Linked DNA regions of Arabidopsis thaliana. The protein of the gene in region 2 interacts with the protein of the main gene of each other region in a biochemical or structural test. Each region holds a gene or a part of one and is shown on either strand. Other genes may lie near its edges.

What was found.
Region 1: the proteins of PLDDELTA (region 2) and GAPC1 form a complex in vitro, tested with the Arabidopsis thaliana proteins (one study listed by BioGRID).
Region 3: the proteins of PLDDELTA (region 2) and GAPC2 form a complex in vitro, tested with the Arabidopsis thaliana proteins (one study listed by BioGRID).

The regions. Positions count from the first base shown.
Region 1 is NC_003074.8:1,076,021-1,085,911, forward strand, and holds GAPC1 (glyceraldehyde-3-phosphate dehydrogenase C subunit 1), read left to right. Parts: upstream 1-4,921; 5' UTR 4,922-5,056; coding exon 5,057-5,060; intron 5,061-5,165; coding exon 5,166-5,195; intron 5,196-5,284; coding exon 5,285-5,385; intron 5,386-5,748; coding exon 5,749-5,864; intron 5,865-5,958; coding exon 5,959-6,058; intron 6,059-6,168; coding exon 6,169-6,315; intron 6,316-6,410; coding exon 6,411-6,471; intron 6,472-6,564; coding exon 6,565-6,805; intron 6,806-6,894; coding exon 6,895-7,111; 3' UTR 7,112-7,670; downstream 7,671-9,891. Other genes in the region: GLR1.1 (glutamate receptor 1.1), read left to right, coding at 1,341-1,596, 1,780-2,987, 3,076-3,388, 3,478-3,812, 3,902-4,216; AT3G04130 (Tetratricopeptide repeat (TPR)-like superfamily protein), read left to right, coding at 8,116-9,642.
Region 2 is NC_003075.7:16,950,217-16,961,739, reverse strand, and holds PLDDELTA (phospholipase D delta), read left to right. Parts: upstream 1-1,569; 5' UTR 1,570-1,864; coding exon 1,865-2,806; intron 2,807-2,966; coding exon 2,967-3,116; intron 3,117-3,393; coding exon 3,394-3,588; intron 3,589-3,678; coding exon 3,679-3,984; intron 3,985-4,073; coding exon 4,074-4,142; intron 4,143-4,283; coding exon 4,284-4,431; intron 4,432-4,639; coding exon 4,640-4,788; intron 4,789-4,903; coding exon 4,904-5,053; coding exon of another isoform or gene 5,054-5,059; exon of another isoform or gene 5,060-5,192; coding exon 5,193-5,393; intron 5,394-5,669; coding exon 5,670-5,966; 3' UTR 5,967-6,222; downstream 6,223-11,523. Other genes in the region: NRPB1 (RNA polymerase II large subunit), read left to right, coding at 1-165, 279-350, 457-625; AT4G35785 (RNA-binding (RRM/RBD/RNP motifs) family protein), read left to right, coding at 6,613-6,615, 6,690-6,712, 7,035-7,175, 7,288-7,311, 7,404-7,503, 7,621-7,770, 8,148-8,217, 8,321-8,529; RTFL6 (ROTUNDIFOLIA like 6), read right to left, coding at 8,940-9,128; STY17 (ACT-like protein tyrosine kinase family protein), read left to right, coding at 11,335-11,523. UniProt on the Arabidopsis thaliana protein: Hydrolyzes glycerol-phospholipids at the terminal phosphodiesteric bond to generate phosphatidic acids (PA).
Region 3 is NC_003070.9:4,605,546-4,615,358, forward strand, and holds GAPC2 (glyceraldehyde-3-phosphate dehydrogenase C2), read right to left. Parts: upstream 5,334-9,813; 5' UTR 4,950-5,333; coding exon 4,946-4,949; intron 4,853-4,945; coding exon 4,823-4,852; intron 4,732-4,822; coding exon 4,631-4,731; intron 4,431-4,630; coding exon 4,315-4,430; intron 4,224-4,314; coding exon 4,124-4,223; intron 4,038-4,123; coding exon 3,891-4,037; intron 3,791-3,890; coding exon 3,730-3,790; intron 3,645-3,729; coding exon 3,547-3,644; intron 3,461-3,546; coding exon 3,318-3,460; intron 3,230-3,317; coding exon 3,146-3,229; intron 3,053-3,145; coding exon 2,920-3,052; 3' UTR 2,532-2,919; downstream 1-2,531. Other genes in the region: ST4B (sulfotransferase 4B), read left to right, coding at 1-321; ST4C (sulfotransferase 4C), read left to right, coding at 985-2,040; GT-1 (Homeodomain-like superfamily protein), read right to left, coding at 7,454-7,653, 7,741-7,971, 8,210-8,344, 8,653-8,691, 8,955-9,570. UniProt on the Arabidopsis thaliana protein: Key enzyme in glycolysis that catalyzes the first step of the pathway by converting D-glyceraldehyde 3-phosphate (G3P) into 3-phospho-D-glyceroyl phosphate. Essential for the maintenance of cellular ATP levels and carbohydrate metabolism. Binds DNA in vitro.

The DNA.
Region 1 (9,891 bases), on a different chromosome or scaffold from region 2:
TATATCTCTATTATCTAACAGTATTGAGAAAAAAGGAGTTTCAGTTTTCAAAAGTTGAAAGACTGAGCCAAGTGATGACAAATTCGAGCGTTAGGGTCTTCACAAATTGGATATTTTGCGAAAAATCATGTTAGTTTTTTATTTGATGTATTATTAATAAGAAATGAGGGTTTCCTTTTTTGAAGTAATCAAAAGAATTTTCCATTTTTGCGTCCAATCATGTAAAACTTAACCATTCCTTTTGTTTCCTTTTAAAGATAAAATTCCTTTTAAAAGTAATTTTTCATTTTCTTCAGAAACCTTTCGGTCATAACCTTCTCTTATAAAATAATAATCTCTTCTTACGAATCAAAGGTCTCTTATTCGAAGGGCAATAACATTTGACCATAAAAAAAACCCCATATATATATACAGTGTATATATATATTTTTGCCCCTTTGTGAAGAAAATAAAACAATCAGAGATGAGCCCTAAATTTTCCAACCATGCGACCGTTTATGTGATCCATCGTTGCGCGGGTATATCGAAGATCGTATTATGAGTCTTTTTATGATCGTATTATCCTTTGTGCGAAGTACAACTATTGAACAAGACGAGAAAAAGTTTTCATTGCGCAGGTAAGTCGCGAGGGAGATGTATTCCATAAGTATTCTATAAGCCAAGTCTCCTAATCTCCCTGGTAACGTTATCTCATTCCACATGTACTCTATAAGTATTCGCGAGCGTGTGGTTTCGATAGAGTAATAATTTAATGATTGTAGAAGGAGATGACTGTGGGATCATCCTAGACTAGAGTTTTAATCTCTTGATTTGATTTTTCCTCGACGAGTTGAACTAACCAGCTTGTGATTTTTTTTAGCTTCTCGGGTTGTGGTAGATTTTATTATATATCACTTGGTTGTCCTATCACTTGAACTCGAATATTTACTTCTACGAATTGACTTTGCGAAATAAGCTAATATATCTAGTATTATGGTTTCCCCTGCATATGTATTTTACATTGTATTTAACCTGGATTTTGAAATCAGTTTTAAAAGTAACTGTTGAAAACATAAATTAAATAAAACTTTTTTTAAGGCTCAACTATACTTTAGAAGGAAATAAATGTGTTTCCTAGTCAATTTGTGTCGATGAACAGTACACATTGACTTTGATTGTGTGCGATATCGCGTTAGTTTGATTTAAAATGATTGTGACCATACACTTCAGAAAATCAAAATGCAATTTGACCGGAAAAAAAAAATGGTCCAGTATAATTATTATTCCATGGCACAAGTAGATATGGAAACACCATTGTTTATAACCCAAAGCGAACGTTACAGAGCTATACAAGAAATTATATGGAGATTCTGTTTTCTATTTCCATTCTTGCTCTTCTCTTTTCCGGAGTAGTAGCTGCTCCAAGCGACGATGATGTTTTCGAAGAGGTTAGGGTTGGATTGGTGGTTGACTTGAGTTCTATACAAGGCAAGATTCTGGAAACTTCTTTTAACTTAGCGCTTTCAGATTTCTATGGCATCAACAATGGATACCGAACCAGAGTCTCTGTTTTGGTCAGAGACTCCCAAGGAGACCCGATCATTGCTCTTGCCGCCGGTGAGTTTTCATCTCCCTTATTCAATTATTGCAATTTTTGGTGGGATCCACAACTCCTCTTCATTTAAAGCAGACTGAATCAAATAAAAAAGAATTGACCTAGTCCCGCCGGTTTACTCCGGTTAACATTCTCATGTCTTGCACTAACCGTTTTGCACTGCAATTTGTGTTTGTATGAAACAGCTACTGATCTTCTCAAAAATGCAAAAGCGGAAGCCATTGTTGGTGCACAATCATTACAAGAGGCAAAGCTTTTGGCGACGATTAGCGAAAAAGCTAAAGTTCCGGTCATATCTACTTTCTTGCCAAACACGTTATCTTTGAAGAAATACGATAACTTTATTCAATGGACGCATGATACTACATCAGAGGCTAAGGGAATTACAAGTCTCATACAAGATTTCAGTTGTAAATCGGTTGTGGTTATATACGAGGATGCTGATGATTGGAGTGAGAGTTTGCAAATATTGGTTGAGAATTTTCAAGATAAAGGAATCTATATCGCTCGTTCTGCTTCTTTTGCAGTCTCATCATCAGGAGAAAATCATATGATGAATCAGCTAAGGAAGCTTAAGGTCTCAAGAGCATCGGTTTTTGTGGTGCATATGTCCGAGATTCTTGTTTCTCGTCTCTTCCAATGTGTAGAGAAGTTAGGTTTGATGGAAGAAGCGTTCGCTTGGATCCTCACTGCAAGAACCATGAACTACTTGGAACATTTTGCAATAACTAGGTCGATGCAAGGGGTCATTGGTTTCAAATCTTACATCCCTGTATCTGAAGAAGTTAAGAATTTTACTTCAAGATTGAGGAAACGTATGGGAGATGATACAGAAACAGAGCATTCTAGTGTAATCATCGGTTTACGCGCACACGATATCGCTTGTATTCTAGCAAATGCAGTAGAGAAGTTCAGTGTAAGTGGTAAAGTTGAAGCATCTTCGAATGTATCAGCTGATCTTCTGGATACAATTAGACATAGTAGATTCAAGGGTTTGAGTGGTGACATCCAAATCTCTGACAACAAATTTATCTCAGAGACATTTGAAATCGTGAATATTGGAAGAGAAAAACAGAGAAGGATAGGATTATGGAGTGGTGGTAGTTTTAGCCAAAGAAGACAGATTGTTTGGCCTGGCAGGTCTCGTAAGATCCCAAGACACCGTGTTTTGGCAGAGAAAGGTGAAAAGAAGGTGCTTAGGGTCTTAGTTACCGCAGGAAACAAGGTCCCGCATCTAGTGTCGGTGCGTCCTGATCCTGAAACAGGTGTTAATACTGTCTCTGGATTCTGCGTAGAGGTTTTCAAGACTTGCATTGCTCCTTTTAACTACGAGCTTGAATTCATACCTTACCGTGGAAACAATGACAATCTTGCTTATCTACTTTCTACTCAGGTGTGAAAATGCAAACAGTTTAAAAACATTTTTCTAGTCAAAAATGATTATGTATGTTTCTAATAATGTGTGTTTGCAATTTTGACAGAGAGACAAGTATGATGCAGCAGTTGGTGATATCACCATCACTTCCAACAGATCTTTGTATGTTGATTTTACTTTGCCGTACACTGACATTGGTATTGGAATCTTGACAGTGAAAAAGAAAAGCCAAGGGATGTGGACCTTCTTTGATCCTTTCGAAAAATCCTTGTGGCTAGCAAGTGGAGCTTTCTTTGTCTTAACTGGGATTGTTGTTTGGTTAGTTGAACGGTCCGTTAATCCGGAATTTCAGGGCTCTTGGGGACAACAACTTAGTATGATGCTCTGGTTTGGTTTCTCAACCATTGTATTTGCTCACAGTAAGTGTTTATGTTAGAGTACTACTCTTCATGAAATCCCATCCTTTTGTATATTTTGATCTATAACAAATTACGCACATTCTTGGCAGGAGAGAAGCTACAGAAAATGTCATCAAGATTCTTAGTCATAGTTTGGGTTTTTGTGGTGTTAATATTGACTTCAAGTTACAGCGCAAACTTGACATCAACCAAGACCATTTCTCGCATGCAATTAAATCATCAGATGGTTTTCGGGGGATCTACGACGTCAATGACTGCGAAGCTCGGATCCATTAATGCAGTTGAGGCCTATGCACAACTTTTGCGAGATGGAACTCTTAATCATGTCATCAATGAAATACCTTATCTCAGTATCCTTATCGGAAATTATCCGAATGATTTCGTAATGACAGATAGAGTGACTAATACCAATGGCTTTGGCTTTGTATGTACCCTTCTCCTCAAACCTCTCATTTTCTCTCCATTATTTGGTTACTTATTCTTGTTACGTACTAATTTATGTTTACCTCTCAGATGTTCCAGAAAGGTTCGGATTTGGTTCCTAAAGTATCGCGAGAAATCGCGAAGCTAAGATCATTGGGAATGTTGAAAGACATGGAGAAAAAATGGTTTCAAAAACTGGATTCACTAAATGTACATTCCAACACCGAGGAAGTTGCATCTACCAACGACGATGATGAGGCATCTAAGCGATTCACCTTCCGTGAGTTGCGCGGTTTGTTCATCATTGCGGGAGCTGCTCATGTTCTCGTACTAGCCCTACATCTCTTTCATACGCGTCAAGAGGTATCACGACTATGCACCAAACTTCAAAGCTTCTATAAGTAAAAAGTGATCCATCGTTCATAAGCTCTACTATAGCAATTGACGGGACAGGACTCATAAGTAACAACAAAGTACACTTCGAAACAAATTTCACATGTAATACTTGTTTTTTTTTCCCGTTTAAATTCACATGTAATAATTTAATTCACGTAAATACTAAAGTGATTCACCCATCACGAAGTATTTTTTGAATTAAATACATCAACTAATCGAGTTTTTGATAGGGACTTTTGCTTTTTTGAATATTGCTTATCAAATCAAAATTTTCAAATTCTTGTCCATATACGCCTATCAAATATCTTCTTTTAAAGAAAGTCTCCTAAAGAGTTGAAAACTTGAAATATATACTTTTCTAAAATATAATTTTATTTGGGCGTTACGTTCTAGAAAATGGAACCCGTCTACTAAAATGGGCCGCTCGTGAACTCGTGGCAGTCAAACACTGGTCGGCGCATAAAAGCATATCCAAATACGCTGCGTTTCATGCTTACCCGACCCGTCTTAAATATTTAAAGAATATTCCAGATTAGCGCGTGAGATGCAGTTGCCATGTCTCGCCTCAGGAATGACGACATTTGCCAAAATAACAGAGCTACAACGGTAAATAAGGAAAATGATTAAGGGCAATTTGGTCTTTTAGGTTAAGAAAAGTATTGAATCAGATCTGACTTTTTGGCCAAGAAAAACTCTCAGCCACTAGATCATTCCGACCCCTCCTCCACGTTCTTCTCTCTTTTAAATAACCTCTTCACGGAACCCTTCTCACTCACCTATCTCACTCTAAAATCTCTCTCTGCCAATCTCATCTTCAACCTCTCTCTAACTCTCGTTTTCGATTCTACAATGGGTTAGTCTCTCGCTTTTACTAATCTCTCGTCCCGTCGCTGCTATTTTACGTTGTTGAGTTTTCTGATCTGATCGTTTTTCTGATTTTGTTTGTTGTTTTATGTAGCTGACAAGAAGATTAGGATCGGAATCAACGGTGAGTTTCGAATCGATTTTGTAATTCGGGTTTGTATGTTCTCATGTATCTAGATCTAGAATCTGACTGTTGATTTCTGTTATCGTTAGGATTCGGAAGAATTGGTCGTTTGGTTGCTAGAGTTGTTCTCCAGAGGGACGATGTTGAGCTCGTCGCTGTCAACGACCCCTTCATCACTACTGAGTACATGGTTAGTGTTCCTTCCTTGGTTTTGACGGTGATTCGATCTTGGTTTGCTTCAATATTATTTTGATCTCTTGACGATAAGATTCTGTTAGTCGCTCTGGTACCTTTGCTTTCGTTAGATTTGATAGATGGATCATATCATTTATGGATTATGCATGTGGATTTAAGTGTCAGATGATTTGTTCAATTAGTGCACAGATCTGGAAACTGGTTTAGTGTTCATTGTTCATACTGTTTAGCTGATCAGTATACTTGTGGAGCTGTTGTTTGTTTTGCTGTGTTTGTAATGTTATTGATTAGCCTGTTTGTGATTAGAGTTGATATGGTTGAGTTGATTTTGATTGCGCTCTGTGTTTGATTGCTGCAGACCTACATGTTCAAGTACGACAGTGTTCACGGTCAATGGAAACACAATGAACTCAAGATCAAGGATGAGAAGACCCTTCTCTTCGGTGAGAAGCCAGTCACTGTTTTCGGCATCAGGTACATTTATCAACCAGTTCTCTGTCTCTTTGCGTGTATACATATTACAAACTGTTGTGAATTTCAATCTCATTAGTTTTTGGTATTTGTGAAGGAACCCTGAGGATATCCCATGGGCCGAGGCTGGAGCTGACTACGTTGTTGAGTCTACTGGTGTCTTCACTGACAAAGACAAGGCTGCAGCTCACTTGAAGGTTTGTCTTATTTGAATTGGTTATTTTTGTCTTGTAATGATATAAATAGTTTATGTGCTAGAATTTGCTTAGTATCATTCAACTAAATTTGTGACTTGTTGTATTTTCAGGGTGGTGCCAAGAAGGTTGTTATCTCTGCCCCCAGCAAAGACGCTCCAATGTTTGTTGTTGGTGTCAACGAGCACGAATACAAGTCCGACCTTGACATTGTCTCCAACGCTAGCTGCACCACTAACTGCCTTGCTCCCCTTGCCAAGGTAAAATATCTGATATTCTATATGATCAAATTTGACTTTGTATTTCAAGTTGAAGTGACTAATTTCATTTAACGTTCTTTGATTTCATTGTGTAGGTTATCAATGACAGATTTGGAATTGTTGAGGGTCTTATGACTACAGTCCACTCAATCACTGGTAAATTTATCAATCAGTTAGAAGTTTATTACAAACTTGCTTGCCTATAGGTGGAAAATTTGTGATTTAATGGGGTTTGCTTTATGATTTCAGCTACTCAGAAGACTGTTGATGGGCCTTCAATGAAGGACTGGAGAGGTGGAAGAGCTGCTTCATTCAACATTATTCCCAGCAGCACTGGAGCTGCCAAGGCTGTCGGAAAGGTGCTTCCAGCTCTTAACGGAAAGTTGACTGGAATGTCTTTCCGTGTCCCAACCGTTGATGTCTCAGTTGTTGACCTTACTGTCAGACTCGAGAAAGCTGCTACCTACGATGAAATCAAAAAGGCTATCAAGTAAGCTTTTGAGCAATGACAGATTAAGTTTACTTATATTCCAGTAGTGATCAAATTACTCACCAAGTGTTTTTACCACCAATACATAGGGAGGAATCCGAAGGCAAACTCAAGGGAATCCTTGGATACACCGAGGATGATGTTGTCTCAACTGACTTCGTTGGCGACAACAGGTCGAGCATTTTTGACGCCAAGGCTGGAATTGCATTGAGCGACAAGTTTGTGAAATTGGTGTCATGGTACGACAACGAATGGGGTTACAGTTCCCGTGTGGTCGACTTGATCGTCCACATGTCAAAGGCCTAAGCTAAGAAGCAGATCTCGAATGATAGGGAGTGGAAAGTCATCTGTTCATCCCCTTTTATGGTCTGAATTTGTCGTTTTCGAATAAAATTTCTTTGAACTTGGAACTTTTTTTTTTTTTGGTTTTCTTAATTCTCATTCATGTGAGGTGATGGGAGTTTGTAGACCGATGTTTTACTGGAAGCCCTTTGTTTTTGGCTTTTGATATATTGAGTTAACGTTATGGTTTTCAATTTTGTTCCACTTCTCTTTTTAACTATATACTAAATCAAATCTGAACGAAAAATGAAACTAAATGAGCTCCCGTTGATGATGACGTAGCAAATCTAAGGAACTAGAGGTGTACACTTATTAATCTAGCTTCTTCTAGTTTTCGAATAAAAGTTTCTAAGTGGAACCTATATTTTATGTTTGCGATTCTCATTTATGCGAGTTTGTAGACTGATGTTTGAATGAAAAGTATTTCATGTTGCCTTTTGTTATTGATTCTTCTCAAAACATAAGAAATTCATTAACAGATGTGCGGTTTATAAAGACAACGAAATATGTGTTCATCTGTAAAGGTACTTTGAACAAATTATTAAACCATGTTACACAAATTCACGTATAGTGGCACTTCAATTATTTGTACACATCCGCATCGAAAAAATGGGGAGGTCGTTGATATACGACACAAGAAGGCCCAATGCCAAAGCCCAGTTGGTCAAACACAAAGCCTAACCGGTTTTTCAAACCAGACGGTGTAAAACGCTTCCAAAACCAGAGAGCCCAACTTTGGGCCGTAAACCCTTCTCTTGCGATTAGTCCTCCTCAAATTTCTCCGGCAAGAGGCCGTCGTCATTTTCACAATTTCCCTTTGCTCCATCTTTCAGGTACGATCTTTGAGTTTCATGTCTAACTTATTTTCGTCATATGTCACTAGTAAGATTCAAATTTCATTGATGATGATAAAAATTTGATTTTCCTATGGTTGCAGTTGAAGAACCCTGTTCTGGGTTTTAGATTTAATGTCTTGGCTTATTCAAAATCGCATTGGAAACACCTTGTTACGCCTTAATCCTTCTTCGTCTTCTATCGCTATTTTCTCTACGTTTATCAAGAATCTCTCTACTGCTTCGGAGCAATTACCTGAGACACTTGATGAATATTCACAGTCTGAGGAGATATGGAATGTTATTGTAGGTAGAGACGGTGATAGAGATAGTGAAGATGATGTTTTTAAACGTCTATCTAGCGATGAAATCTGTAAAAGAGTCAATCTTTCTGATGGTTTGGTTCATAAGCTGCTTCATAGGTTTAGAGATGACTGGAGATCTGCGCTTGGTATTTTGAAATGGGCTGAGTCTTGTAAAGGGCATAAACATTCGAGTGATGCTTATGATATGGCTGTGGATATTCTCGGCAAGGCGAAGAAATGGGATCGGATGAAGGAGTTTGTGGAGAGAATGAGAGGAGATAAACTTGTTACTTTGAATACAGTTGCTAAGATCATGAGGAGATTTGCTGGTGCAGGGGAGTGGGAAGAAGCTGTGGGAATATTTGATAGGTTGGGTGAATTTGGATTGGAGAAGAACACGGAGTCGATGAACTTACTGCTCGATACGCTTTGCAAGGAGAAAAGAGTGGAGCAGGCCCGAGTAGTTTTGCTACAGCTGAAGTCACATATTACACCAAATGCTCATACGTTTAATATCTTCATTCATGGTTGGTGTAAGGCAAATAGAGTTGAGGAAGCTCTTTGGACGATCCAAGAGATGAAAGGTCATGGTTTTCGTCCTTGTGTTATTAGCTATACGACGATTATAAGGTGTTATTGCCAGCAGTTTGAGTTTATTAAGGTCTATGAAATGCTAAGTGAGATGGAAGCTAATGGGTCTCCTCCGAATTCTATTACTTACACAACTATTATGTCTTCTCTTAATGCACAGAAAGAGTTTGAGGAGGCTTTACGGGTTGCTACAAGGATGAAAAGATCCGGCTGTAAACCCGATTCTCTTTTCTACAACTGTTTGATTCACACGCTTGCTCGAGCTGGTCGGTTAGAAGAAGCTGAGCGGGTTTTCAGAGTCGAGATGCCAGAGCTTGGTGTTTCCATTAATACATCTACCTATAACTCTATGATTGCTATGTATTGTCATCACGATGAGGAAGATAAGGCGATTGAGCTTCTCAAGGAAATGGAAAGTTCAAACCTTTGTAATCCCGATGTTCATACGTATCAACCCCTGCTGAGATCTTGTTTTAAGAGAGGAGATGTTGTTGAGGTTGGGAAACTATTGAAAGAGATGGTGACTAAACATCATCTCAGCCTCGATGAGTCGACTTATACTTTTCTGATACAGAGGTTATGCAGAGCTAATATGTGTGAGTGGGCGTATTGTCTATTCGAAGAGATGATTAGCCAAGATATCACGCCGAGGCACCGCACTTGTTTGCTGCTCTTGGAAGAGGTCAAGAAGAAGAATATGCATGAATCAGCTGAGAGAATCGAACACATTATGAAGACTGTGAAACTTACTGCACCTGTAAAGTGAGGTTTATTAGTTATTATGACGACTTGACTGTTACTTCGCAGATTGGGATGAGAAGTGGTCTCTTCATGCTTGCGAAAGAAGACAAGACCAGATCATGCATAAAGATGTTCATTGTGTTGTTTATTCAACCACATTGTAGTGTAGATTTCAAGTTCGTTGGTCAATGGATATGGACAAGAAACTTGGACTTCGTATTCATGAAAAGTTGTTAAGATTGGAACTCTGGAGTTGATTGATCTGACACATTCT
Region 2 (11,523 bases):
CAGCCCTACTTCACCAAGTTACAGTCCAACATCACCAAGCTACGGTCCTACGTCTCCAAGCTACAACCCTCAGTCTGCTAAATATAGCCCATCTATAGCTTACTCTCCTAGCAATGCAAGACTATCACCAGCTAGCCCCTACAGTCCTACATCTCCCAACTACAGGTAAGTAGTAATATCTTAATTTTTACACTTTCTATGAAGCTTCTCTTATCTGTTGTGGTGATATTGTGTCATCTTCTCTAATCGTTAACTCTTATTAAAAATTTACTCTGCAGCCCGACATCTCCATCATACTCACCCACATCTCCATCTTATTCACCTTCAAGTCCAACATACAGTCCCAGCAGGTTTGACTTTTACCCGCTTGAAAATCTTGGATCTGTTGTAATGCATCCATCTCAATTGAATTCCGCAAAAAGTTTAACTGGGTTGTTGTTATTAAATCTGTCTCAGCCCATACAGCTCAGGAGCAAGCCCAGACTACAGCCCAAGCGCAGGCTACTCGCCAACACTTCCCGGTTATTCACCGTCATCAACGGGTCAGTATACCCCACATGAGGGCGATAAAAAGGACAAGACTGGAAAAAAAGATGCCAGTAAGGATGATAAAGGCAACCCTTGAAAGAGAGTGAGAATTGGCAATCCATGTTTTAGGTAACGTCTAAATCTCTTGGAACCATTGGGGTTTACAAGTCTTACTAGCTCACGAACTTAGCCACTTGGGATATCGTGTAACCCGCAGGTCATGATTTAAGAGACAGTGAAAGCTGAGAAAAGGAAGGGACCGTTTCAAAGTGATCTTCTGTGGATAACTTTGTGAACAAGGTTTTCTTAATAGATCCTTTTTTCGTGAGTTGTATATTATTCCAAACTGATCCATAAATCCATCCAATCCTCATCCCCCAAAAAGAAAATAGTATAAACATAGAAAAACGAAAACATATCAGACTTTGGGCTTTTCGTATGGTTTAGTTTTTGGCTTTTTGCTGTGTTGTTCTATTTCAGAAAGTAAACATGTGAAACGGTTCATTTGTAATCCATGAAAGGATTCTTTATGTTACTGCTGTTGCTTCATTGAGTAGATACGAATCGAGAATGCCTTTTTTCCTTGTTTCCGACAATTATCGATTGACGTGTGACCACTTTAAAAGTTTAAACAGCTCGACTTTCCAATATGGGTTTATTTCTTGTTTTATCCACACCATTAAAGAATGGTTTTTGGGATTTTTATTTATGTGATAATTAATCATTTTTCCAAATTTTATTTTGTATATAATAAATGAAGCAAATGTTGGAAAACTATCCAATGGATGTGGTGGGTTAATATCACCAGATTCGCATAGCTGGTTTTTGACTTGTCTTCTTAATTATTTGTCCAGAAAAAGAGAAGAACTCTTCACATCATCATTGTCAACTTTAGCATTATTGTATTAGCTTTTTATTTCTTTACGTCTACAAAGCTATTGGTACAACGTTCTAAAATCAAATTCGTCATCAGTAGATTTTGTAAACTAATTAAGTAAAGTTCAGTGATTAAAGAAGCTAGATGAAGAACGTGTGCAACGACTCCTCTGAGATCTACACGGAATAATGTCGTCAGTGAGCAAACAACTCCCATCACGTCGTCCCTCCACCTGTCCTCTCTTCTCCTTCCTTGCTTGTCTTTCTCTCTCAAATCATTTCACCTAAAAATAATAAATATCTTTCGTTTTCTAAAGAAAAAAAAAAAAAAAACTTTTCAAATTCATCTTTGGTTTCTGCAGCAGCAACAACAACCGAGCCCTGTTCGTTAGGGTTTTCGGTTTTTGTTAGCTTTTCTTCTTCTTCTTCTTCGTTTCCTTCCACCTGAATTGTTGTAACCATGGCGGAGAAAGTATCGGAGGACGTTATGCTTCTACACGGTGACCTCGATTTGAAAATTGTTAAGGCTAGGAGGTTACCTAACATGGATATGTTCTCAGAACATTTGCGCCGTCTCTTCACCGCCTGTAACGCCTGTGCTAGACCCACCGATACCGATGATGTCGATCCCAGAGATAAAGGCGAATTCGGTGATAAAAACATCCGTAGCCACCGTAAGGTTATCACCAGCGATCCTTACGTCACCGTCGTCGTTCCTCAAGCGACTCTAGCTCGAACACGTGTTTTGAAAAACTCACAAGAGCCTCTTTGGGACGAGAAATTCAACATTTCTATAGCGCATCCGTTTGCTTATCTCGAGTTCCAGGTCAAAGACGACGATGTTTTCGGTGCTCAAATCATTGGCACGGCTAAGATCCCGGTTCGAGACATCGCATCGGGAGAACGCATTTCTGGTTGGTTTCCTGTACTCGGTGCTTCGGGAAAACCGCCTAAGGCAGAAACTGCTATTTTCATCGATATGAAATTTACTCCGTTTGACCAGATCCATAGCTACCGATGTGGAATCGCCGGAGATCCGGAGCGTAGGGGTGTTAGACGGACTTATTTCCCTGTGAGGAAAGGAAGTCAGGTGAGGCTTTACCAGGACGCTCATGTTATGGACGGAACGTTGCCGGCGATTGGGTTAGATAACGGGAAAGTTTATGAGCATGGGAAGTGTTGGGAAGATATATGTTATGCTATATCTGAGGCTCACCATATGATTTACATTGTTGGTTGGTCTATCTTCCATAAGATTAAGCTTGTTAGGGAAACAAAAGTTCCAAGAGATAAGGATATGACGCTTGGGGAATTGCTCAAATACAAATCCCAGGAAGGTGTTCGAGTTTTGCTACTTGTATGGGATGATAAGACTTCTCATGATAAGTTTGGGATAAAAACGGTTAGTGTTTTCACAAGTTCTTTGGATTCGTATTGCTATTTTTGAGCTTTTGGATTACTAGTTGTAATGTTAATTGGAGTTTCTGGTGAGGATAATTTATGTTTTGACAGGTTATTTGGTGTTTTTGACATTAAGATGTTGTGTGACATTTATTTTGCAGCCTGGAGTTATGGGGACACATGATGAGGAGACTAGGAAGTTCTTCAAGCATTCTTCTGTGATATGCGTTTTGTCACCCCGGTATGCCAGCAGTAAGCTTGGGTTGTTCAAACAACAGGCAAGTCCTAGCTCTTCTATATATATCATGACAGTTTTTGTTTGGTATGATGTTGATATGTTTTAGCTAAGGGGGTTTAGTCCCGCATGATGAGGGTTATTGCAAAGTTGGAAATTAGTTAATGTGGATGCTTACTTTCAATTATAAGAGATGTTCTGACTCTAATCCATGTCGCACCATTGTTTCTCGATTGTTTAGTTAAAGGCTCTTTCAACATGTGGGTATCAAAATGTTATGTCAATTTCGGCTTTGGCATAGTTATTATCTTTCCAAGGGATATCTTTTTTGATATCTGATGTTTAATGGCCAGGTTGTTGGAACTCTCTTCACGCACCATCAAAAGTGTGTTCTTGTAGACACTCAGGCTGTTGGTAATAATCGCAAGGTCACCGCTTTTATTGGAGGTCTAGATCTTTGTGATGGCCGTTATGACACACCTGAGCATAGGATACTCCACGATCTTGACACTGTATTTAAGGATGATTTCCACAATCCTACATTTCCAGTAAGTTTATTATTATATACCGGCTGTTATCAAGCTTGAATCCTAATTCTTTAGTTATTACTGATACATACTCTGTTTTTACTTCCTCAGGCTGGTACCAAGGCCCCAAGACAACCTTGGCACGATTTGCACTGTAGGATAGATGGGCCTGCGGCATATGATGTTCTCATAAACTTTGAGCAGCGATGGAGAAAGGCAACACGATGGAAGGAGTTTAGCTTACGTTTAAAGGGGAAAACTCACTGGCAAGATGATGCTTTGATCCGGATAGGGCGTATATCATGGATTCTGAGTCCAGTGTTTAAATTTCTGAAGGATGGTACTTCGATAATTCCAGAGGACGATCCATGTGTTTGGGTTTCTAAAGAAGATGATCCAGAGAACTGGCATGTTCAGGTCCTTGTTGATTCCTTCCAAACTATACTTATTTCATGTTAACAAATGTTGTTGATTTGATCTAACCACGCGGTTTCTTTGACTTCTAGATATTCCGTTCTATCGACTCAGGATCCGTGAAAGGATTTCCAAAATATGAAGATGAGGCTGAGGCCCAGGTTGGTCAATCAACTTATTTGCTATTATTAATTATCTTCCTTGAAGAATCACCGTTTATTCAATGAAATTTCTCTTTATAAGCCACCACATGGTATAGAAATTGCACTACTTACAAAGTCTTCAATATAATTTAACTGCAGCATCTGGAATGTGCCAAGCGTCTTGTTGTAGATAAAAGCATCCAGACTGCATACATCCAGACAATCAGATCTGCTCAGCATTTCATATATATCGAGAATCAGTATTTCCTGGGTTCTTCTTATGCTTGGCCTTCTTATAGAGACGCAGGTGCATTTTGATCTTTGAGTACAGTTCTTAGACTAGGAAATAAAATACTCACATTGCAGACAGCATGAAGTCTAGAATTGTTCTCAGTTACTAGTTTTGTATTTGTGGCTCTATTTTCACCTCACAGTTACCTGAACTGTATTAAATAAAGCTTAGTAACTTTTTCACCCGCGGATTTTCTGATTCTGTGTTCGTCTTGTATGAGCAGGAGCTGACAATCTTATTCCTATGGAGTTGGCACTAAAGATTGTTAGCAAAATCAGAGCTAAGGAAAGATTTGCCGTATATGTTGTCATACCATTGTGGCCTGAAGGCGACCCAAAGTCTGGCCCTGTGCAAGAAATTCTATATTGGCAGGTAACTTTGTTTAGCTGAGTGTAAGATAAGTGCCAATACCAAAATAGGTTGTTCCATTTCTTTAAAAGAGAAACTTACATTCTGCTAAACATCTTCTGTTCTTTTCATTTCGTAGAGCCAAACTATGCAGATGATGTATGATGTTATAGCAAAAGAACTGAAAGCGGTGCAATCAGATGCTCATCCTCTCGATTACCTTAACTTTTACTGCCTTGGTAAACGAGAGCAGCTTCCAGATGATATGCCAGCCACCAATGGCAGTGTGGTATAATCTTCAAACTTCTAAGACTAAGAATGTTTCATTCACAAAAACTGTAGCTTACAGATAGATAAATCATACATAAAGTTTCCTGTAGTAATCAGTGGAACAATTTCTTTATGATCATTTTAACTGCATTTTTCAGGTATCAGATTCTTATAATTTCCAGCGTTTCATGATTTACGTGCACGCAAAAGGGATGATAGTAGATGATGAGTATGTACTCATGGGATCTGCTAATATCAACCAAAGATCTATGGCAGGCACCAAAGATACTGAAATCGCCATGGGCGCATACCAACCTAATCATACATGGGCTCACAAGGGAAGACACCCACGTGGCCAGGTTTGCCTTCCTCCTAACATCTTCATCATCATCATCTATATCATAACCAAACCTCAAAAGTGTCTCTATATCTACATGGGGAAAGTTTCAAATTCCTGAATCCTGGATTTAAAAACAGTAAAGAAATTTGGGATAGCATTCGATCTTGCGAAAAAAATCACGTTCTTAGATACTTGAGAGAACTTGTGTTTCTACTCCCAGATTCTTGAACCATTATATATATTGAGTCTTCGTAAGACATAAAGAGCTTGATGATATCTCTATCTATCTACACAGGTGTATGGATACAGAATGTCACTATGGGCAGAGCATTTAGGCAAAACTGGAGATGAGTTTGTGGAGCCATCAGATCTGGAATGTCTGAAGAAGGTGAACACAATCTCTGAAGAAAACTGGAAAAGATTCATAGACCCGAAATTCTCAGAGCTACAAGGTCACTTAATAAAGTATCCTCTACAAGTAGACGTTGATGGTAAAGTAAGCCCTCTTCCTGATTACGAGACCTTCCCAGATGTTGGTGGTAAGATCATTGGAGCTCATTCCATGGCTCTTCCTGACACTTTAACCACGTAATGTGAATGTTCAATGTAAATTTCAGCATTTGTTTTGGGGTTTCTTTTGATCCTGAATAATATTAGCTGAAAGTGTTGTTTGAGTTGTTGTACATTTAACTGTGTTGTTTCTTTTTTATACATTCTTTTGTGATTGTCGTCAAATATTTGTTGGGGTGCAAAATGTAGAGATCGTGAGTGAGTGAAGAGGCAAAATAATTTGAGGATATTCTATTTTTCTCGGTTTTCTTTTTCAAAATCGGATAATGATGCTGTGTAACTGCGTTCAAAACAAAATTTCTGCTTCGACTTTTAATGTTAAGATTAGATGTGCCTATCGGTTCTGTTTACCCGAACCAAACCGAAGATTCATGGACACTTAGACAGATCAAAATATTTAATTAGCGGTATTAAACCGAACCAGACCGCAGACCGGAAATATCAATCCGGGACTGATTACGATTATTGTTATTTTCTTTTGTTGTTGCAGACACCATAAGAAACGTGAGTCTTGCTACATGCAATTATTGACTCTTGTAATAGTATAAAATTTTATTGAATAATTCATCTGTAGACAAGGGGGAAAAGAAAGACTGATTTTACGCTTTATTGCTCTCACTAAAACCCTAATTCTCTCCGTCTCGATCGCGACCTCTGTTTCTTCGGCAATGGTAAGCTTCCACGACTAAGTCTCTGTGTTCTTCTTGATCTTCGAGAAATTTGAGGTAATTACTTCGTTTTGCAGGCGGATTCTCCTCAAAGAAGAAGGTTAGATTCAAGTTTCTATTGCTTCGCATTTCGGAGCTGTTATTGTTCCTAAATCGTTCTCTTTTGTTTTTTTACATGTTTCAACAATTTTGAATTGCATTACATTTGCGTAGGGTTGTGAATCTGACGAATTGATTTTGGGAATTTTGACTTTTTAAGATCTAGTATTGGAGTCTTTTTCTATGTAGTTGTAGTTCTTCTTAATTATGTTTTGTTGCAAATGCTATTTGATTGGGTATTTGTAGCTCAGAGGACTGATAAAGAGCTAAATGTTTCTAAGTAACAAGTCTCAGTGTAATCTTTTACTTGATTTCTGCATCAGGGATTCACGATCTCCTTCACCCCGAAAAGAACGAGCTAGATCCAGATCCAGGTCTAGGTCCAGGTCTAGATCCAGGCCCAGGCTTAGGTCCAGGTCAAGATCTTTGCCAAGGCCTGTTTCTCCATCACGAAGCCGTGGAAGGTTAGTTATTGCGCAGTATAGGGTTTTCTTATGTAGATTTTGGGTATGTCACTGAAAATTTCTGAAGAATATTGCGTGGTAATCTTTTTTTCATTACCTGTACACTTTGTAGGTCAAGGTCAAGAAGCCGTGGAAGGTTAGTTCCAGCTTTCTCCATATGAGTTTGCATTCTCTTGTTATCTGTAATTCGTTTGATATTTTTGCGATATTTTGAATTTTGGTTGACAGAAGTGAAGTTGAAAACCCTGGTACCACTCTCTATGTGACTGGCCTATCTACAAGAGTCACTGACAAGGATCTTGAAGCACATTTCGCCAAGGAAGGAAAGGTGATAACATCTATACCTGATTCTCATTTCTCATACTACCAGTTTAAGTCTATTTTGTGTCTGCATTTTTGGGCATATAATCTTTGATCATATAGTTTACCATTTTCATTTCCATAGGTTGCGTCTTGTTTTCTTGTGATGGAGCCGCGCACCCGTGTGTCTCGTGGTTTTGCCTTTGTTACAATGAGCAGCCTTAAAGATGCTGAGCGGTGCATTAAATATCTCAACCAGTCTGTACTAGAAGGCCGATACATAACTGTGGAAAGGGTAAAATTTCATGCTCTACTGATTTTGGTGGTAGTTTGAGATCATTATTTGTTGACTTGGAGGTTTTCTGATCATTCAGAAAATATTGCATCAAGCAACAATCAGAGATGATAAGAGTACTCATCCTTGCTCAACATCATTAAGTGAAACACAGCTTGATCAATCGAATCGCCAGCTTAAACATAATCATAAGCAACTATATTGCCTCAACTCTCAACTCTCAACTAGTCAAAGGACATTATCAAGTATCAACAACTATTAGTCAAGTGTTTCTCCAGCCTAGGATGCATCTTGTTTCCTTGAATATACCTATGGCTTTTCTAGATTGAAAGTTGTGTTCCATTACATGAGCTTTATGTACTTTGTGCTTTCTTCAGTCCAGGAGAAAGCGCCCGAGAACTCCCACCCCAGGCCACTATCTTGGCTTGAAAAGCTCCAGAGACAGCGGTAATTGAACATTTCAAACCTCGTAGTTATTATTGAGTCTCTCTCTAGACAGATGAAAGGTTGCTAACTGTTCCGTAATCTTTTTGTTGTTTTGATAAAAAAGATCGAGAAGGCCGTAGCAGTCGAGGGAGGCACTATGATCGTGATGATTACAGAGACCGTAGGTCACCAAGACGCGACTATTCACCTCGTGATGAAAGAAGGTCTAGAAGAGATCGGTCTTACTCTCCTCATGGAAGAAGCCCAGAGAGAAGATCAGAGAGAAGGTCTGAGAGGTCAGAGAGAAGGTATGAACCCCGTGGCTCGAGATGACCTGTTTTCATCCTTTTGACAAAGGATTCAAAAACTTCTCTGTTGATTTAGGTTGTGTAATTGATCATCCTTAAAATAGCACAAAGATTCTGTCAGGCAACGCTTTGGGTTTCATTTATTTTCTGTTGTTAACGTGTTATTCTGTCGGAACTCTCTGAAGTGAAAACTAAAAACTGTAATAGCTTCTCTGTTATGTCTCTACTCTACTTGTTTTTGAATGAATCAGAATATCTTATGTGATTAGAATCTTTAGATTGTTCGCAATTTTTTGTTAAACAAAAAGGTGGAGATACCAAATTAAAGCTTGAAAGTTGAAACTTAACTAAAAACAAAACCCCAAGTTGTGACCAGAGACAAAAATAATCAATCGTATATACTTGTTTAATTATCGAATACTAACACAAACCTCATCAAGAATTGGCGTATTTGTGCCAACAAAGCAACATAAGAATACATCTTCTAGCTATATAAAACCTAGAACGTCTCTCCTTCACCATGGCTAAACATCCTTTATTCCTCCTCTCCATTGATTCTCTGCAACATTCTTCTTCCCTTTTCCTCTTTCTCCTCATCTTTGTCGCCGATGAGCATTGCCCCATAATTGTTCTCTTCTCTTTGATTACTTCGTTTCTTCACACTTTTACGTTATTGCTCTTTTTGTGCTCTACGGAGAGATGATTTTTCGTTATAAAAGACAAATGGAAGAAGAAGAAGAAGAAGCAATATTAAAGGGACCAAATGTGAAAAGAGTGGAGAGGAAAAATAAAATGAAAAAAGACTATAAATAGAGGAGTGGTGGAGCAATGATGATGCGATGACGTTCAACATCATTAAGTTCTTTCATTTATTTACGTATTCGTAAAGAAAATATATTATTTCATTTTGCATATGTACTTACGCGATTAAACAATTCCACATTACTACGCTTTATCATTGTTACTTAAATCGTTTATTAGTGGAATAATTGTCTTTGTGTCTAATACCATAAAAGATAGTACTAAAGTCTTCATATGACTAGATCATCCCTTCCGTTTTTTAACGTTAATTCGTATGTTACATTTCAAATCATTTATTGTGGCTTATTAAAGATATACTATAATGTAAGGATCGGAGAACTAATGGTGATCATGTAATGAAAGACAAAACATTGTCACATATATTGTAATTATTTTTGGTTTTCGTTATTAATTAATTGTTAGTATCTTCCGGATTTTGATTCATAAACCAACCAAAAACGCGTCTCAGGTGGTTTTAGCGTACCCGACGTTGCAACTGGCTTATCTTTTTCCTACACGTGTCTTCCTCTGGTTGGTATTATATCATACGTGTAAAATGGACTTTTACCTTAATTAACCGCATCTTATGGTCATCAATTCATTTCTTAAGCTACTTTTTTAATTTATTTGTATGACTTTTCTTATCGTTACTTATTTGATTAAACCTTTCTTACGCCATTTTTTTTTCTCGACAAGTATGTTGCATGAATTCATATTGGAGAAAAATTAAAGATCAAATAGGATTGAAATTGTTTGGTAAACCGCATCCAAAACCGCACCGCAACAGTGCTGTAACAGTATCAAAATCTCTACATATACATATGTATCTATGTATTTTCGTTACTATTTGAACCGCACTGCACTTTTTCCGCACCGCAAAATGCAGTCACCATTCGGACCCTAAGTTTAGTTATAAGAAGGGCTTCTTCGTAAACGCAAAAGCAACGTACGTCAGCATGAACTGGTGGAAGAGAATAAAGTATCTGGAAGAAGAGAAGGCAGTAGTGACCAATCATTGGTACTTGATTGGTTTACGCCACGTCATCACACTTTCCTTTCACAGCTGTATAATATTCCCCTCTTCTTGTTTTTTCTTGACAAAAAGAATAAAAATCATTTTTTTCATTTTCTTATTTTTATTTCGGCTGATCATTTTTCCAGTTTCTGGATACATTTTATGATTTTAATTACCGAACCAGATATGGGATATGGTTATAAGCGTCGTCATATGGATATTGTTGTCGCCATTTTCATTTTGTCTTTAACTTTGCGAACGTTGCCCACTTGCCACTTTATTTACTTGTGTTAAAGTGTGTAAAATACCAACACCAAGCAAATATGGGCCACAAGGCCCGACAAAAATGATCTGTTGCGTTAGGATTGAAATTTGAAAGGCCTATTATCATTTAGGCTCACTCGTACCTCGTACGTATTGCTATTGCCTATTGGTTGTAACAAGATCAACTTTTATGTAATTACCAATATTAAACTTATAGTGTTATACAACAAATAGTGAAATAAAAACAAACATGTCCATTAATATGTCATCATATTTGTATCATAAGTAGCAAAACATAAAAAAAAATATATATAAAAAAGTCATCACCATCCACCATCATCTCCTTTTCTTTTTGCTTCATAAACATGAAAACCACCATACATTTATCTCGAAGCCAAAAAAGCAAAACTGTCCATTATCCATTTAAAGCATTACAATAACTAAAAAAATAAGAGTATTCTCGTGACCCACACTCATATGGACCCTACATAATGACGTGGATGAGTCCTACGTGTTACACAACGAAACGTTCATGTCCTCCCTGGCTTTCAACCCAAACTCATACATTACACCCTCTCTCTCTCTTCTCTTCAATTTCCGTCTTCTCACTCTCTAATCTTTTCGCCTTTAGTTGAATCTCTGGGATCATTCTACCTTTTTGTGGATTTAGGATCGAAGAAGAGATCACTCCTACTGTTGAATTCTGGTTTTACTTGAGAGAGTTTTTCAATTCTGATCTGCTGTTTTGCGATGGCGATCAAAGAGGAGACGGAGGAGAGTTGCGGAAGCAGAGCCGTGGTAGCTTCAATAACGAAAGAAAGCCCTAGACAGCACCGTATGAAACTGGAGGTGTACGGTGAGGTTCTTCAACGAATCCAGGAATCCAATTACGAAGAAGCTAATTTCCCTGGTTTTGATGATCTCCTCTGGCTTCACTTC
Region 3 (9,813 bases), on a different chromosome or scaffold from region 2:
GTGCTTTTCTTGAGGTACGAGGAGTTGAAGACGGAGCCTCGTGTGCAAATCAAGAGACTTGCAGAGTTCTTAGATTGTCCATTCACAAAGGAAGAAGAAGATAGTGGAGGTGTAGACAAGATCTTGGAACTTTGTTCTCTAAGAAACCTTAGCGGTTTGGAGATCAACAAAACAGGAAGCTTGTCGGAAGGAGTAAGTTTCAAGAGTTTTTTCCGTAAAGGGGAAGTTGGTGATTGGAAGAGTTATATGACTCCTGAAATGGAAAACAAAATCGACATGATTGTTGAGGAGAAACTTCAAGGCTCTGGTTTGAAATTGTAGAGTTCATATCTCTATGTATATGTGTGGGAACAGGTTTAATCTCAAACCTAATAATGCTGGTTTGTTCTTTTCTTGTATGCAATGTAATAAAAGTTACTTTGATGTAAGGTTAAGAGTTTAAGATTCTTAGTGATGTGTTGTTGTTTTTGTTTCGTTTGATAATGAATAAAGCTAGCGGCTTTTCTTCTTCGCCAAGGCATACAACAATCATTTTTCTTTTTTTTTAATAATTGAAAAGTTGGAGTCCAATTGACCTTAATTTCATAAAACATGCCATGTGCGCCGGTTTAATAGCAGTTGACATAATGAGACTTTTAGTTGAACGGAAAAGCCACAAAACTAACTCAATTATCATAAAAACCAAAACAATGGTTTCGGTATAAAGAACCTTATAAAAAGACCCCATGCATGTTCGTTGGTGAAGTGTCCATGTTTACGATATATACAATGGACTAGATTCCTATATACTAGTATTTTTTAATTTCTTAGTGACATGATTGGTTAATATTTGTTAGAAAAAAGTCGAAGATTATAACATTATTTTGTTCTATGTATATAAGGTCAATAATGGAGCGTAATTTTATATTAGTAAAATGCTGCATTTAAGTTTAGCACTTTAAAATCAACTAAAATGTTCACTTAACAAAACAAGAACCAAAAAAAATGGATGAGAAAGATATTCTAAGGAACTTGAGGGAAGAAGAAGAAGAAGAAGAAGAAAATCAAAGCGAAGAAACCAAAATTTTGATCTCTTCACTTCCTTGGGAGATAGATTACCTTGGGAACAAGCTTTTCAAGTACCAAGGATATTGGTACTACGAAGACGTTCTCCAATCAATCCCCAATATACACTCGAGTTTTCAGCCACAAGAAACCGATATAGTTGTTGCTTCTTTCTACAAATCGGGCACGACTTGGCTCAAAGCACTCACATTTGCACTCGTTCAACGATCAAAACACTCGTTAGAAGATCATCATCATCCTCTGCTATCTCATAACCCTCATGAGATAGTACCGTACCTCGAGCTAGATCTGTATCTCAACAGCTCAAAACCGGACTTGACCAAGTTCTTATCATCATCATCATCATCATCATCTCCGAGATTGTTCTCAACTCATATGTCCTTGGACGCGCTTAAACTACCCTTGAAGAAGTCTCCTTGCAAGGTAGTGTACGTGTGCAGGAACGTGAAAGACGTGTTGGTGTCACTTTGGTGTTTCCTCAATGCCAACAAGGGAGTAGAATGGGGAGATTTTAGCCAAAATGAAAAGATCATTCGAGCGGAGAATTATTCTTTCAAGGCTATATTTGAGTCATTCTGCAACGGAGTTACCCTACACGGTCCCTTTTGGGACCATGCACAGAGCTATTGGCGAGGCAGCTTGGAAGATCCTAAGCATTTTCTTTTCATGAGGTACGAGGAGTTGAAAGCGGAGCCTCGTACTCAGGTCAAGAGACTTGCAGAGTTCTTGGATTGTCCATTCACTAAGGAAGAGGAAGATAGCGGAACTGTAGACAAGATCTTGGAACTTTGCTCTCTAAGTAATTTAAGCAGTTTGGAGATCAACAAAACTGGATCCTTGGGTGGAGTAGATTACAAGACTTATTTCCGTAAAGGACAAGTTGGTGACTGGAAGAGTTATATGACCTCTGAAATGGTAAATAAAATCGATATGATCGTCGAGGAGAAACTCAAAGGTTCCGGTTTGAAATTCTAGAATTATGCGTGTGCTTTGTGAAGAACTGCAGAAAAAGTGTTCTTGAATGCGTTATTTAATAATAAAAGTTACATTGTCATATATATAACTTTGATGTATCATTACAACTGATGTGTGGTTTTTGTTCTCTTTGATGTTGCAATAAAAACCTTCTTTACTTCTATGTTCCTTTAATAACTAGCGTGTGATCTCATGAGTACCATTTCAATAGTGGCATGTTACTCTTCATTTACGACTAATAAAGTAATAAAATAATCGTATTATCACATGCAATAACATGTCACTATTGAAAATACGAGTTTCCTATTAACTTTAAAAGTTAGCATGCAAATAAAATTATAATATCAATCATTTTACAATGATGTCAACCAAAAAATTGGATCTTCGCAATTGCAAGGAAATACTAAATTCCAATTTTTGATCCTCCGTTTCAACAAACTTGGCTGATTCGTTAAAAAACAATGTGGCGATGCTTATCAACCAATAAATCCGTCTCAGTAACTTTTGCTTTCAATCGAAGATGATTGACCTAATGTGAGCTATATGACTAGGAAGAACCATTTTGGTGGAGAAGCTCAAGTACAAATAGACTATTAAAAATACGAGAAGAGGACGTTCAATGTTCCAGTTGCCAGTTGGGTTTGAGTTAGCACGAGAAAGTAATGAACTAAAAACTTAATTAACATAAAAAACCAAACCAATGGTTTCAGTAAATAAAGCAGGGAAACATTAAGAGAAAGCAAAAAGACAAAAGCTACAAACTCTCATGACTGCGCATGGAATCAGTGAAAAAACATAACAACTCGAGTTTTCTTTTCTCCTTTTTTTTATTCAGAACAGTACGAACTCAACCACACACAAACTCTCGCCGGTGTAAGCTTAGGCCTTTGACATGTGAACGATAAGGTCAACGACACGAGAACTGTAACCCCATTCGTTGTCGTACCATGACACCAACTTCACAAACTTGTCGCTCAATGCAATCCCAGCCTTGGCATCGAAAATGCTTGACCTATAAACACAAACCCAATATTTCAATTATTTGCTCTCGCCATTTATAAGATCAGAAAACTGTATATCACTCTACAGACAATATTTTTTATACCTGTTGTCACCAACAAAGTCGGTAGACACAACATCATCCTCAGTGTATCCCAAAATTCCCTTCATTTTGCCTTCAGATTCCTCCCTGAAAAGTTTTAACCAAAATCTTTTGTAAGTACCCAATAAATTCTAATATGATATGGTTAGGACTGAGGGTCCTTGATGGTTCTCACTTGATGGCCTTCTTGATTTCGTCGTATGTTGCAGCTTTCTCAAGTCTAACGGTGAGATCAACAACTGAGACATCAACGGTTGGAACACGGAAAGACATTCCGGTCAATTTTCCATTGAGGGATGGCAACACTTTCCCAACAGCCTATCAACAACCATGATACAAAAATCAGATTCAACATAATTTCTCAATCAAAATCAATTAAAACAAATAAGAGGCTGAAATGATACCTTGGCGGCACCAGTGCTGCTAGGAATAATGTTGAAGGAAGCAGCTCTTCCACCTCTCCAGTCCTTCATTGATGGACCATCAACTGTCTTCTGAGTAGCTGATCACCAAAACAACAGTTACTATTGAGTCAAATATACATATTTTCAAGAATCAACCCAATGAAACCAAATATAAATACGTACCAGTGATAGAGTGGACAGTGGTCATGAGTCCCTCAACAATGCCAAACCTGTCATTAATAACCTGCACAAATAGATTGCAACTGTAAGAGAAATGATTCAACTTAAAATTCAGAATTCAGAACAATTTACACAAGTTTATGGGTTGAAACAGAAAAAGATACCTTGGCAAGAGGAGCAAGGCAGTTAGTGGTGCAACTAGCGTTGGAAACAATGTCAAGGTCAGACTTGTACTCGTGCTCGTTGACACCAACAACGAACATGGGCGCATCTTTGCTTGGGGCAGAGATGACAACCTTTTTAGCACCACCCTGAATAACAATGAAACAATATGATGATGATATAGATCTTAAATAAACAAGTTCTCGACTATTATATAAAAGATCCAAGTTCAAACCTTCAAGTGAGCAGCAGCCTTGTCTTTGTCAGTGAAGACACCAGTAGACTCAACAACAAAGTCAGCTCCAGCCTCACCCCATGGGATGTCCTCAGGGTTCCTTCAAAAATAAAACACCACAAATCAGAATTTCACAACTCTCAATAACATAACAGAGAACCACTATAATAAAATCATCCATGATTATGTACCTGATGCCGAAAACAGTGACTGGCTTCTCACCGAAGAGAAGAGTTTTGTCATCCTTCACCTTAAGCTCATGGTGCTTCCACTGACCGTGAACACTGTCATACTTAAACATGTATGTCTGCAACAAATCGATACCATATACACAATCAGTCAAAACGAATTTACAGAGAATCAACATAGAAGAAGAATACAACAAAGCAAGTTCTCAGATCTATATGATAAACAGCACACACCATCATGTATATTAACAAAAATTCAGATAAAACTATTAACTCAAATCCAGATACGAACTAGTATCGAAGAGAAGAAGAAACGAACCATGTACTCGGTGGTGATGAAAGGATCGTTAACAGCGACGAGCTCAACATCATCCCTCTGAAGAACAACTCTAGCAACCAAACGACCGATTCTTCCGAAACCTTCACGAAGATTCAAAACTCAGCTTCTACAGATCCAAATCACTTAAACCTAACCAAAAAACTTATGGAATTCGATAAGAAAAACACTCACCGTTGATTCCGATTCTGATCTTCTTGTCAGCTACACAAACCAAAATTACGATCAGATTCAAAAAGTATCAACGAAAGAACAATAAATCGAAGAATCGCAGATCAACAAGAGCGAGAAGCTTACCCATTTTGCGAAATTGAGATCGAGAGAGATTTAGATGATATCGAGAGAGAAGAGAATGTGAAAATAGTGAGTGAGGGTTTGGGTTTGGTGAGGATTTAGGGTTATTTAAAAGAGAAGAAGAACGTGATGATGAAAATTGAAAATATGATCGAGTGGCTGAGATTTTTTCTTGGGAAAAAGGCTAATAGATTAGATTCACTAATTAATATTACTATATTGTACTTTACTTTCTTTCTTATTTACCATTTTTACCCATCGTTTATGGGTAGGATTAAGAACTGATTTGGGGAAACTAATGGCGCTTGGATTCACGCGCAGGCTGATGGAATATTCGAGGTTTAATACTCTAATCCTATGGGCTGGGCCGGTGCACGCAAGACTGCAACGTAGCAGATTTTGTATATATTCCTTTTGACAGCCAATGAGCTTTGCCAATAGCCAAATTTGTTTTTCTTTTTATTTAATTTTCATAAGATTTTGTATTATTGTTGTTGTCAAACCATAATTTTCCTTAATAAATCCAAAGTAACTGCAATAGTATGCTCATTTTTTAATTTTGCGTAACAAGTAACACCACTGTCTTCTATACATGTATCTTGTGATACCATTCATGGTAAATTCAATTATTATCGGATCAACTTTATCATCCAGTTCATTATAGTGAAAGTTACTCTCAAATGTCAATTCTCACTCAACATTCAGCAACATTACTCCAACCATTGTTTTAGAATAATCAAGGTGAAGATTTGACTTCATAAACACTATATTTAAAGGTGTTTTGTTTTAATCAATTTAGATGTGTAGATGCTTGTAGACGTCTTTATCGAATTACTGGTTGCTTACTGTTTCAAATATTTATAATTTGACACAAGTACATATGGTGTTGTATATTTATCTAATCGTGACTCTATACCAAGACACAATAGATGCTCCACTTTGAGAGCTTTGGTAGGTCAGATGGAATGTGACAGCAAAAAAAAACATCACACCTTATGTAATAGACTAATAGGTATGACTCTTGGCTTTTGCCAAAAGTCTTCTTCTTCTCCTCCTCTTATTTGCTCTCTTTTCTTTTTCCATTTCATTTTTGTTAGGTGAATGGTTATAAAACTCCTTCTTTTGGTATTCATATGGATCTTTATACATCCAATAAATAGCTAAAATATTATCTGAGGTCAACAATATATCATAAATTGAAGTTTGTGATCTTTCTATAACTCATGATCATTTCCAAGAGTCCACTTATAAGTTATAACTGACCCGTCAAGTGTCAGCCATTCTCTTCGACTGAATAAGTTCTATGATTTAAAAACGATTTTCTAATTCGTTTTTCTTTGTAAAATCAATTTACTTTGGTTTGTACTTTGTAGTAAAAAACCAAATTTATTTTTGCTGAAAACCATATTTGAGAATTTTATAACATAACGTACATGTATTTTTTTCATTATCTGAATTATTTGTAGTGATTTTGTGGAATTTTCATATGTTATTTCTGATCTTATCCCTTTTATTTTGAAGTGTCATTATTCACAATGTTCTAAAGTAATCGTGAAGTGAAAAGAACCACAATATATCATTATCAAAGTATATGTTAAAATTCGATTCTAAGAGAAAGAAAAAAAAAGATAGAAAGAAAGATGCAATAATTGATGCAAACCTTCTCGACAAAAACAATTATTGACGCAAAACTTTAACTATTGGAATCTTATCCTGATGATCTGCTTATAACCAATGTTATTCCACTTACGTGATATTTAAGATCTAGAAGTTGGTTTATTTATGCATAAACATTTCAATTAACTCAGTTTCATTTGTATGTTTGTGATGTTTATGCTGTCTTGATTCTGTCTTCCTCCTTTTCACGCTGTCTCAAAGGAGAAAAGTAATAAGGAGATCACGAGGGAGATTCAAGCTATAATGAGACAAGTTGCTTCCAGCATAACTTGCTTGCCTTGTCTCCATGAAACATGTAAGAGAGAGAGACATTAATCGGCTTGGCGGTTGGATAAGGTGTGTTTGTTGTGTTGGGAGCATTTACTGATACCGATGTGGCTGTACCGTTCACCTGGATCAAGAGAGTGGTTGAATTACATTCTTTGATACTAGTGTTTGTTAATCAAATCATTATAGTGTTTTCTCAGTAGTATAAGTTCAGAAAGTTTCTCTGGCTTTGCAGATTGACAAGGTCGAACACACTCATTTCATACAAGAACAATAAAAGGGATGAAGAATGACTCTGATACCACACACAAACACTCGCTCGTCTGATTGTGAACAATTTATTCACTTCTCTTATGTTCTGTTCTTACAAATGTAACAGACCAAAAATCTATTTTGAGGTCTTCTTGGTCTGTACGGTAAATGCCAGTTATGATATTTCATATTTGAGCAAGTACATGAAAAAAAGAAGAAATGTATAAAGAGAATGAGATCATATCTACAGGGGACTGTTTTCTGATCAGATAACTGTTGATAGAATTGGAGAAGAAGTTTTGTGATCTCATTTCCTCATCTCACACCTCGATACACAGCACCAGGTTGAAGATCATCCATGTTTTCTATGTTCCTAAAACCATCAACTTGCAGGCTTGACCATCCCTGTCGAGCCAGAAACTCGCGGTAGTCTTCTTCAGTGTAGAAGATTTTCTCTTCTGAATGGACTGGTAATTGGTTGGATTCATCATAATGGCAAACCCTAATGGCCAGTCCTGCAAGATGGGTTTTGCATACTGACAATTCAGTAAAAAACACACACACAGTTCAAAAGATACGAATAGTGGCAAATTTAATCTTACCATCATCCAGACGGAGTAGATAGTTCCCTAAGGGCATGTCTCGGTCAAGACAGCGAATAATCTGATCTTCATCTTCTAACCAAAAAGCCCTTCGAGTTCTTAACCCAAAAGCAGATCTGATTACCTCTTTGATTGCTTCTGCACTACCATCAACACCGATTCTTCTTGTATAGTCACCAAATTTCACTGTTATGACCCTACCACCAAAAGGCTGACCATGACTATCATCACCTGCTTGTATAAACATGAAACAAATGAAAAGCTCTACTCAGTTATAAAGAGACCGAACGAATAAATCAAGCAGAGGAGCAGAGGCTGTGAAGCAACCTCAAAATGAGAAAACGTGGATTCTTACACATATTACACCATGCTTGGAACATAAACATACAGTTCAAAAAACATATCTTTAGCCTTATAGAAAATTAAACTTTGAGGCTTAAGTTTATATAAGCTTTTTCTGAGGACTTGCCGTTTCCAGGAGTCTCTCTCCAATTCCAAGGAGTAACTCCATTTGCTGCAACAGCATCAACTGCTGTAGTGATTGCAAGAGGATGACCATCATGATCAAGACGCCTTTCAAGGTTTAAGGCTGGCCTGCCATTAGCTGAAACATAGATATATATACACTTTTCAAACATACACACACACACACACATCCTCTAGAAACAAAACTAAACCATCTAACACAGAAACTGCCTGTGAATTCTACGGCACAGTCATGTTTACTATTTGTTTCAGTCCCAAATGTTCACTTCACTAAGCAAGTTCATACCTCTACTATTGCTCACTCAGGGAGATGTTTTCGACCAACTTAAAAGACAACTTCAAGAGGCAGTAGACAAACAAAAGCTCGTCTCTTTGTATACATAGCAAGATACTATAATAAACAAACTAATAGTGATAGATAAGTACCTTCAACGGATCCAAAAGAAATGCTCGTATCATCAAAACCTACAATGAAAGATAAAATTACCACTTAGCCAAAAGAAAATTAAAGGCACAAAATCCACATACGCAGATTCATTTACCAAAACTATCATCTTCTTTAAAGATAACTGAAAAACCACAATAAGAAACCTACTCTAAAATGTAGTATCTTCTCAGCCTAAGATACAGATAAGAATTTTCCCAAATAGTAGCAACAAAAACCATAATCACAGTTACGTTCTCTGAATCCAAATCAAGAAATCTACAATTGATGCCAAAGTTTATACCTTTATCAGTAAATTGCATAAAGGAATCAACTTTGGCTGATGTAGGTGGTGTATTAGGGCTCTTATTATACTGTGGTGGTGTCACTTTTTTGCTCCTCTCTCTAAGAATATCTTCAATCTCTTTGTAATACGACATCTTCGCCGATCCATTTCCTCTATCATGATGCTTAGCTTTCTTAAACTCTTTCAACAGATTCCTCCATTTATCAGTACACATAGTCGGAGATCGATCAAACCCTTTTTCTCTCATCTTAGACGAAATCTGTTCCCAGAGATGTTTATTAGATTTGGATGTATTGAATAAACCATCCATACCTCTACGGAACATGATTAAGCTACGAGTTTCGTCTTGAACCCATGTCTCCGCTCGTTTCTTTGGTGCTTTAACTTCGTGATCTTCTCCACTGCTTTCTCCGAGGAGAATCTGTTGTTGTGGCTGAGATTGGTGGAGATGATGATTGTGGTGATTGTGGTGGTGGTGAGATTGTAGATCTACTGATTCGTTGGTAGTGGTGAGTACATCGATCATCATATCGCGTGTGGTGCTGGTGGTGGAGGAATTGTGATGATCGTCTTTGTAGAAATCAGTAGGACGAGATTTGTCGGAAATGAACATTGCTGTGTTTCCCGGACAGAATGGATACGATGTTCCTTTGTTCCCACCACCGTCAACACAAAAGCCCCCTCAGAACAAAATGAAAAAAAAGGTTTTAACTTTAAGTTAGGTTTTCTCTATCTTAGTCTAGAGATTTGGTTTTGGATAAGGATAATTACAAATTTAAAGTTTTGGTTATATAAATTGGTTTGAATGTTTTTGCCATATAAACTTTGTAATGTCAATCTGTTATTGCAAATATTA